2 linked regions of the Xenopus tropicalis genome follow. The protein of the gene in region 1 purifies or fractionates together with the protein of each later gene. This does not show direct contact. Links are inferred from orthologs where the notes say so. Each region holds a gene or a part of one and is shown in the gene's direction. Other genes may lie near its edges.

Region 1 (3,205 bases):
TACAGTGACTTTAGACCTGACCAATAACCCATAGCACCCCATCAGAAGTATGGCAGTAGTAAGGGCAGTAGGGCAGCCAATGCTGTCTTCTGACTGGTTGTTAATTCTGCCCATTTTATTACTAGCAATAATGTAGTTTGCTCATGGCCTGCTGCTTAATTGTATCTTCTTTGAATTATATGTATATATGCCATTGCTCATAACTTTGTTAGCACATAGCTGTATCATACTGATAGCTTGTCCGCTTATAAGCTCCTCTGTGTTCTGCCTACAAAACCCCTCACAGCTGCCATTCTTCTTATTATTTATCTATTCTTATTATTAGTGATTGTGTCTGACTCTCCCTTGTCTGTTCACAGATGCCCCAAGGAAAGAAGTTTATTTCATGGCTATTATTGACATATTAACACACTATGATGCAAAAAAGAAAGCAGCTCATGCAGCGAAAACAGTTAAACATGGTGTAAGTATATGATTCCCCATCTGGTGGTGGAAACTAAAATAAGTATATAATGGGGCAGGGCCATAGGCTGGGTAAAGGGTAGTGGGCAGTAGATTCCAGGTGGGGTTTCCTTCCATGCTGCATGAGGGGGCAGATTGCATGGCCAGTCTATAGTCTCAAGACCAGAAGTCATGCAGAAACCCAGGTGAGTAGGAAAATGAAGTTGGGGAACATATAAAAAATGCAGTGCTGCGTCTTCATCCAGTTTGAGCTTTTTTGCTATTTATTACATGAAGAAAGGTGGGAGGTGAGGCCTCCTAGCTGTGACCCCCAGGTGCTTTTGTTCTATTTGCTTGTGTTGCTTATGGCTGCCAAGGTTTTTATTTATTTAATATGATGTAGCAATTGCTTTTCTGAGATAATTTGCAGTTGGTCTTCATTTGTTGCGGTTTGTTTGCAGTTTCTGAATTGTATAGGTTTTTGTTCTGCAGCTCTAAAGTTTGAAATTTCAGCAGCTGATGATTGCTATGGCCCAATTTAACCTAGCAAGTGGTTTGAAAGAGAAGACAGAGTTATGAATAGACCAGGGTCTAAATAAAGAAGATAAATAATAATATGTAACAATAACAAGAAAATTGTAGCCTCACAGAGGTATAGTTTTTTGACTGCTGGGGTCAGTGACCCCCATTAAGAAGCTGGAAAGAGTCAGAAGAGGAAGGCAAAAAAATTCAAAAACTATGAAAAAATTAAAACCAATTGAAAAGTTGCAAAGAACAGAACTTTGTATAACATACTAAAAACAAGTGTATCTGCTGTCTGGCTATTATGAGTGCTGATAACATATTGTATTTCCCTGGGGCAGGCAGTTTGATTGTGGGCATTATATAAGCACTAGCCCCATAATTTCCAGGCCATACTTTTAGGTTACATTGGGGGTAGGCTTGTCTGCTTGTTTGGGCGCGAAAATCCTAAAATCAACCAGTGTGCCAGTGCCCTAAAAATTCAAAGCACCATCTTTTTATTACATCTTGGCAGGCAGCTACAGCAAACTGCACGGTCTGATCCCATAACAGTCACCAATCCAGCCTTTTATTTTAGCATTACTGACATTTTCCTACTTGCTATTAGTGCTAGGTCTTAGTGCCAGGGAAGCTGTAATTGACAGTTGGGCATTATGTTGCTGCTCAGCCAGATGTGACAGTCAGCCATTTTACGTTGCTCTTGGAGGACTATGCAATTTGGCATGTGTAATTGCGCTCATACTATGCTGACCCACCCTCGTATAAAAGGCAATGGGAATCCTTTATCCCCCAGAGCTGCCACATTGGTGCCAGGCTGATACTTGGGTGCAAGTAACAATGCCACTGTGTTAACTCTATTTTCTCTCTCTTTCCCTTCTACAGGCTGGTGCAGAAATTTCCACCGTTAACCCGGAGCAGTATTCTAAGCGTTTCTTGGACTTTATTAATAATATTCTGACGTAGCCTCACCTGCCGGCAATGGAAGCTCATAGAAGAGAGGACAGCTATGGATACAGCATGGATAGAGAGGCCAACAGAACTTGCTGTTACTTAATGCTTCCCCTGCGGGGATCACTCCTCCGCCCCTTGTAATATGACATCTTCTGGCAAAGATGGTACGCCTAGGGATCACAGACTTCGCTGCCTGGCATAGCCCTAGATTTTTTTTTTTCCTTTCTAACTCTTTTGTGTCTCAATAAAGAAGGAAAGCTTTGACAGCTATGCGGAAATAATGCACAGATACTATTGCCAGCAAAAAAAATGGAGAGCAGAGTGGTGGGGTCAGACGAAGCAGCCTGCATGCTTTCTCTGCCCTTCTGGCTGGAAAAGGATTGAAGCGACGTCAAGACGTAAACTGTAGATCAGTTTATTTTTATTTTATTATTTGGTTTTTTTTTTTAACTTAGAGGGGCAAGGCAGTATTCATGAAAATCACCTGAGAAGCGCTATGTTTTTATTTTTGCAAACCGTTGCTGTCAGCGGGACATAGGCAGTATGTATCATATGACGCTGTTCATTGCAGGACTCGGGATGCTGACAAGGATCATGGACAAGAGTCACAGTCCCCCAGCGCTCAATGCTCTTTGAGTGCCAAAGAAGTAACATGTTGCCCCGGCTTTGGCACCCAAAAAGGCTCCAGTTTATATCTGCACCTTGGAATCAATGATGCCATAATATTTCTGCCTCTATGTCATGTTCTTGTCTGCCACAAAAAAATCTGCACTTCACTATGACTCGGATAACTTTTTGTCTTAAACAGGTTGCCGTACAGTGTAGTTTATCAACACAGGAAAGAGCTCTGCTCGCTGACTTACACAGTTGTGGGCAATATTTTAGTAATGATTGGTTTAATTGCTTTGCAGCATCCAAAGCCGGGTTTCCAGCCTGTTTCACTTTCCAGTGTCCAGTCCTTGGCCCTAAACGTGCTGTCAAACTGCAGCTCCCTTTATCTGCCCTTGTGAGTCGCTGGGATTTGTCCTTAGTCTGTAGTTAATAGTGTTGCTCCATCTTATGGGCACTGTCACACAGGGCGCTTCATTGTCTGGTGGGAAATCTCCTCTCATGCGGATGATAAAGTGCCTGACATTACCTGCCTGTTCTCATGACTTATAAATGATTCAAGTAAAATACGTTACATATGTCGATCCTCAGTAATCACTTAACAAGGCCGCCTTTTGCATTTTTGGGTGATTAACAAGAATCACCACACGTAATGTGTTTTACATGTGGTGATTTCAAGTAA
Region 2 (4,348 bases), on another chromosome or scaffold:
CTCCTAGAGAGTGCTATTACAGTTTCTGCTATTCTTTCTAGTCCTCATTCACAGGGCCCTATGCCCAACTTCACCAGAGTGCATGTTGACCCTGGGGCAAATGGCTTTGCTTCACTGGGGCCTATTTCTGATCCCAGGCTAAGTGGAGCTGTTCCTGGAGAATCAGAAGGCAGCCAAAGAGGAAGCCACACCTCCTTGCTAGACACTATATCAGACTGCAAGGGGTGTGAACAGCCACATAGATCAATAAAGTATAAGGTATAACTGTAAACTGATACAAAGGGTTTGCCCAGTAACAGTGCAAATCAGGAAGAGGTAGGGAATTAAAGCCATAGGGGAGCTTAACCCTATGGGTCCCTACATAATTATAAACCAACATCCATTAAGAATATAAAGACTTAATCGTTTTAATACATGTTCGGTGATGCAAACCCATTAGGTTTATATTTTGGGTGCCTGATATTCAGGTGTGTTTTCAGGGGTGGGGCTTAACATTAAATCAGCCACAAAGTACAGGGAGGGGAATACTGGGCTGTTTTACTACCACTGAGGGGTGCAAAACAGGGAGAAAGATCCTTGTGAGTTAATATGAGTGCACATTTGTAAAACTGTCAAAATGAATAAATAATGTTATATTAAAATATTTTACATTTTTGCAAATAAATGCTCACCATGGAACCATGTCTACTTGTAATGCTGTGTGCGCACTGGAGATATATATAAATATATGTGTGTGTGTGTGTGTGTGTGTGTGTGTGTGTATATATATATATATATATATACATAGATAGATAGCTCCAGCGCATACAAAGCATTACAAGCAGACACAGTTATTACCAGCCCCCAATACTACTAACAAAGAAAACCGATACTCCCAGCAATTCATGTTTCTAGAACGTTACACCATATGCAGCGTTACACATGTTATTTGTCAATCACAGCCCTTCATCTACGTTGCAGGATGTCAGCATAAAAGCACCGAGCAGGTTGGCAACAGCTAAAGCTCAGACATTACTATTGCTGTGACACGTCAAACTTCACTTGTACTGTGTACATTTTTGGACATCCTCCCTCGCCCCCTCCCAAAAAAGAAAAAAAAAATCCAGTATCCCTTTCACTCGCAACCTATACTTAGTCTCCCTATCTCACGTATGTCTAATATCATATTAGGGAGACATAAAGACTACAACTCCCAGAAGTCTATGCACTAAACCGTATATATTCGCCAGTGGGCGCGGCTAAATAAAAGATTGACAATCTGATTACCGGCCCTTATATAGCGGTCGGGTGGTTTCAACAACCCACAGCGAGGCTTAGACCGCATGTCGATTGCTCCGCCTTCTGCGGTGTGGCTCCACCTCTCTTTTCTGTTTTTTAAGTCTTCCTCCGCGGCCGGCGCGTCACTATCTGTGAGGTCACGTGACTGAGACGTTTAGTCGGTTATACTACTTTTTATGCTAAGGCACTCTCCGGTATAAGAAGGCGGCGACAGTGTCTGGAAGCTGGGTTTGGGGGGCAACCTAAGGCTAATCTAGGTTAGGCCCCCGCCGTATTTATTAAGGGCAACCGGACAAACAAGGCCCGGAGGAGGGAGGCGAATCCGCCGTCAGTTCTCCCAGTCAATTGCTTACAGTCCTGAGTGCTTTGCTGCCGAAGAGTCCCCCGGGGGGGAGCTGCAGACATGTCATCTCCCAGCCCGGGAAAGAGGCGGATGGACACCGATGTAGTTAAACTGTATCCTTCCTGACGACAAATTATTGGGGTATAGGTTACATATACTATAAGTGGGTGCTTGACAGTCATTTGTCAGGTACACTCAGTATGTAACTCTGGGGCCCATGTTTTGGATGGATATGGAGCATTGAAATGGGGCAAAACAATGTTCACACTATTCTGCCCCTTCTAGATACATGTAAGTATCTTAATTGTGTAGTGCCATTACTGTGCTTATCCGTGTTCCTTGCCTAGAAGGTAGTAAAGGGGCATATCCTTGTATAAAGAGATCTTTGTACATCAGCTATTAACAGAAACATAAAATAAAGTGACTTACATAAGGAAAAGCATCCCTATATTTCTCTGAAACAAAGAATGCCACATATAGGCACAGTTGCTACTAAGATATACTGTCTTTGATGAGAATGATCTATTTTGATTAAATCCTTTGTTATTGATCTGTTGGCAGGCATGTCTTTCCTAACCCACAGGCCCTCCAGCTGTTCTTGAGCTGGTGGCAGTTGAAGCCTGTTGGGCTATATGAGTTTCAGCTGAAGGGCCACTGGTCAGCTGTGTTTTTTTTTTTTATATAATAAAATAATGATAAATGAATTAAGAAAAGGTGTATTGTATTTGTAACTCAGTAGTTCACATATAACTAAAGTATCATTGTGTAGTTTGTTTTGTACAACTCTAATAGGCCTGTAGGAATTTAGGTATATAGATACGTGTGTGTATTTTCAGTGTCAGTACAGTTAAGGCCTCACACAGGGAGGAGGGGGTGCAGACAAGGAGGATTTTGTTGTTTGTGTCTAGTTAGACAGGGAAAAGATGATGTTATTTTTCGTTTTGTTTTATTTGTGTAACAACAAATTACCAATTCCCCCCTGTCACTGGTCAAGGTTATTTACAACAGGAATGCTTAACCTGTTTAGTTAAATCCTAACTCCTAGCACCCACTGACAGCCTTAGGCTGTTTGGGGATTTTATGGTGATACTGGAATATGTAGTAGAATAACACAGGCTGTGGGATGCATTTTGGGCAAGCCTGTACTCAATAATCATTCTGTTTCTTTGCACCTATTGAGCTTTAACAAACAAGTGGGTTTTTCATTAGACTGCAAATAATTTTCATGGGGGCATTGTTCATGGAACATCTCTGTACTAAGTAAGAGCTTACGCAAGCATTTGTGTACCCCAGTCCTGTTTATGTGCCTAGTCAAAACAAAGGGATCTTTGCAATCTTTTTCTACTTGTCGTTTTTATTGTAAGAGAACAGACAAAAGACTGCAGTCTTAAAGGTTTCATGCTGCCTTATGCTTCCATAAATAGAGAATGGTAGGCACAGGCAGCCAGCAGCTTTTTAACATTTGCTACAATGGCCCTAATTGAAGTGAATGCCATGGTTTTTACCAGCATTTATTTGTTGCAGGACATTAAATACTTTGGTCTGAGCGCAGGTGACTTAAAGGCAGGGTAATGTATGTATTTTATAAAGTTGGGAACATCATCTGTTGTGTCTGTTTTAATCTGACAGGTTTTGTATAGCTGCATTAAAGGAACACCTACAATCCTGATCTCCTGATTGGAGATGTCAGGTCTGCATTGCAGGCCTTTAGCATACAAGGGGTTAACTGGCTAAAACCCTGGAGACAGATTTTTTTTTTTTACAGGAATACATTTCTTTCAGCCTATAAGTATTTAACAATTATTTAGATACAGTTAAAGTAACCCTCATGCTGACAATGTTATGTTGTGTGTTTTAGGTCCCATAACAATATATAGGTTAACAAGTAAAATGTATAAATGTCCTAGCAACTGATCGGACTGTTGGGTTCCAGTGGTATTAAGGGGGTTGTTAGGGGAAAGCCTTCATAGCACAGCTGAGCTCTTCTGTTTTTCTTCTCCTCCCTGTTTTTTGCGTTTGTTTTTGTCCCATAAGTTCCCTCCTAGCCCATGTAATTTCCTTGTGTAGGGTGGGACACTAGGGGATTTTGTTGTGTGGTTATGACATTAACGCTCAGACATGAGTAGTGAAAGGGAGTGTTGTTTGAGGGGTGGGTGGGAGCAGAGGGCAGGTTAATGGGCACCCCGCATCCACTCTGCTTCTTTGTTATTACTGTAACTAAAGTTTGGTAGGAATGTCAGAAAGCCCAATGCCTGTTCTGTAAACCCAGAGGCCCACAAAATCTAGAGGGCCACAAGTGGCACTGCATTTAAGTGTACCACTGAAACTATACTGGCAATCTGTGTAACAGGCCATTTATATAGGTGTACGCTTTTTTATTGCTCTCAGTTTGTCTTTATGTGTGGTTAAAAATATATTTTTCCTAGTACAAAACAATCTTGCATTTACCTTACGTTCACCCTGACCTTTTGCTTTCATCCTTTATTGGGCTGTCTTAGAGTTAACCAGCTCAATTATACATGTTTGAGAACTAATAATAAAAATGGGGGGTGGGGAATGTAACCTATTGTATACAATTCCAAAACAGCATATCAGTCATAACACTGTGTTTTGGTTTTTTTTTTGTGAGGCTAAGGCATTCTGCCAAAATAAATCATAGCTGTTCCTAGCCGTATAGCAGAAGGCCTATTGTACTTTTTTTTTTTTTTTAAGAAGAAAGTGTCCTAT

What was found.
Region 2: the proteins of pip4k2a (region 1) and ube2h purify together in Homo sapiens (affinity purification with mass spectrometry; 3 studies listed by BioGRID and IntAct, with this or other methods). This does not show direct contact. The link is inferred for Xenopus tropicalis from reciprocal best matches to the Homo sapiens genes PIP4K2A and UBE2H.

The regions. Positions count from the first base shown.
Region 1 is NC_030682.2:26,688,836-26,692,040, forward strand, and holds the end of pip4k2a (phosphatidylinositol 5-phosphate 4-kinase type-2 alpha), read left to right. Parts: intron 1-359; coding exon 360-463; intron 464-1,845; coding exon 1,846-1,926; 3' UTR 1,927-2,690; downstream 2,691-3,205. UniProt on the Homo sapiens protein: Catalyzes the phosphorylation of phosphatidylinositol 5-phosphate (PtdIns5P) on the fourth hydroxyl of the myo-inositol ring, to form phosphatidylinositol 4,5-bisphosphate (PtdIns(4,5)P2). Has both ATP- and GTP-dependent kinase activities.
Region 2 is NC_030679.2:86,975,868-86,980,215, forward strand, and holds the start of ube2h (ubiquitin-conjugating enzyme E2 H), read left to right. Parts: upstream 1-1,435; 5' UTR 1,436-1,681; coding exon 1,682-1,734; intron 1,735-4,348. UniProt on the Homo sapiens protein: Accepts ubiquitin from the E1 complex and catalyzes its covalent attachment to other proteins. E2 ubiquitin conjugating enzyme that transfers ubiquitin to MAEA, a core component of the CTLH E3 ubiquitin-protein ligase complex.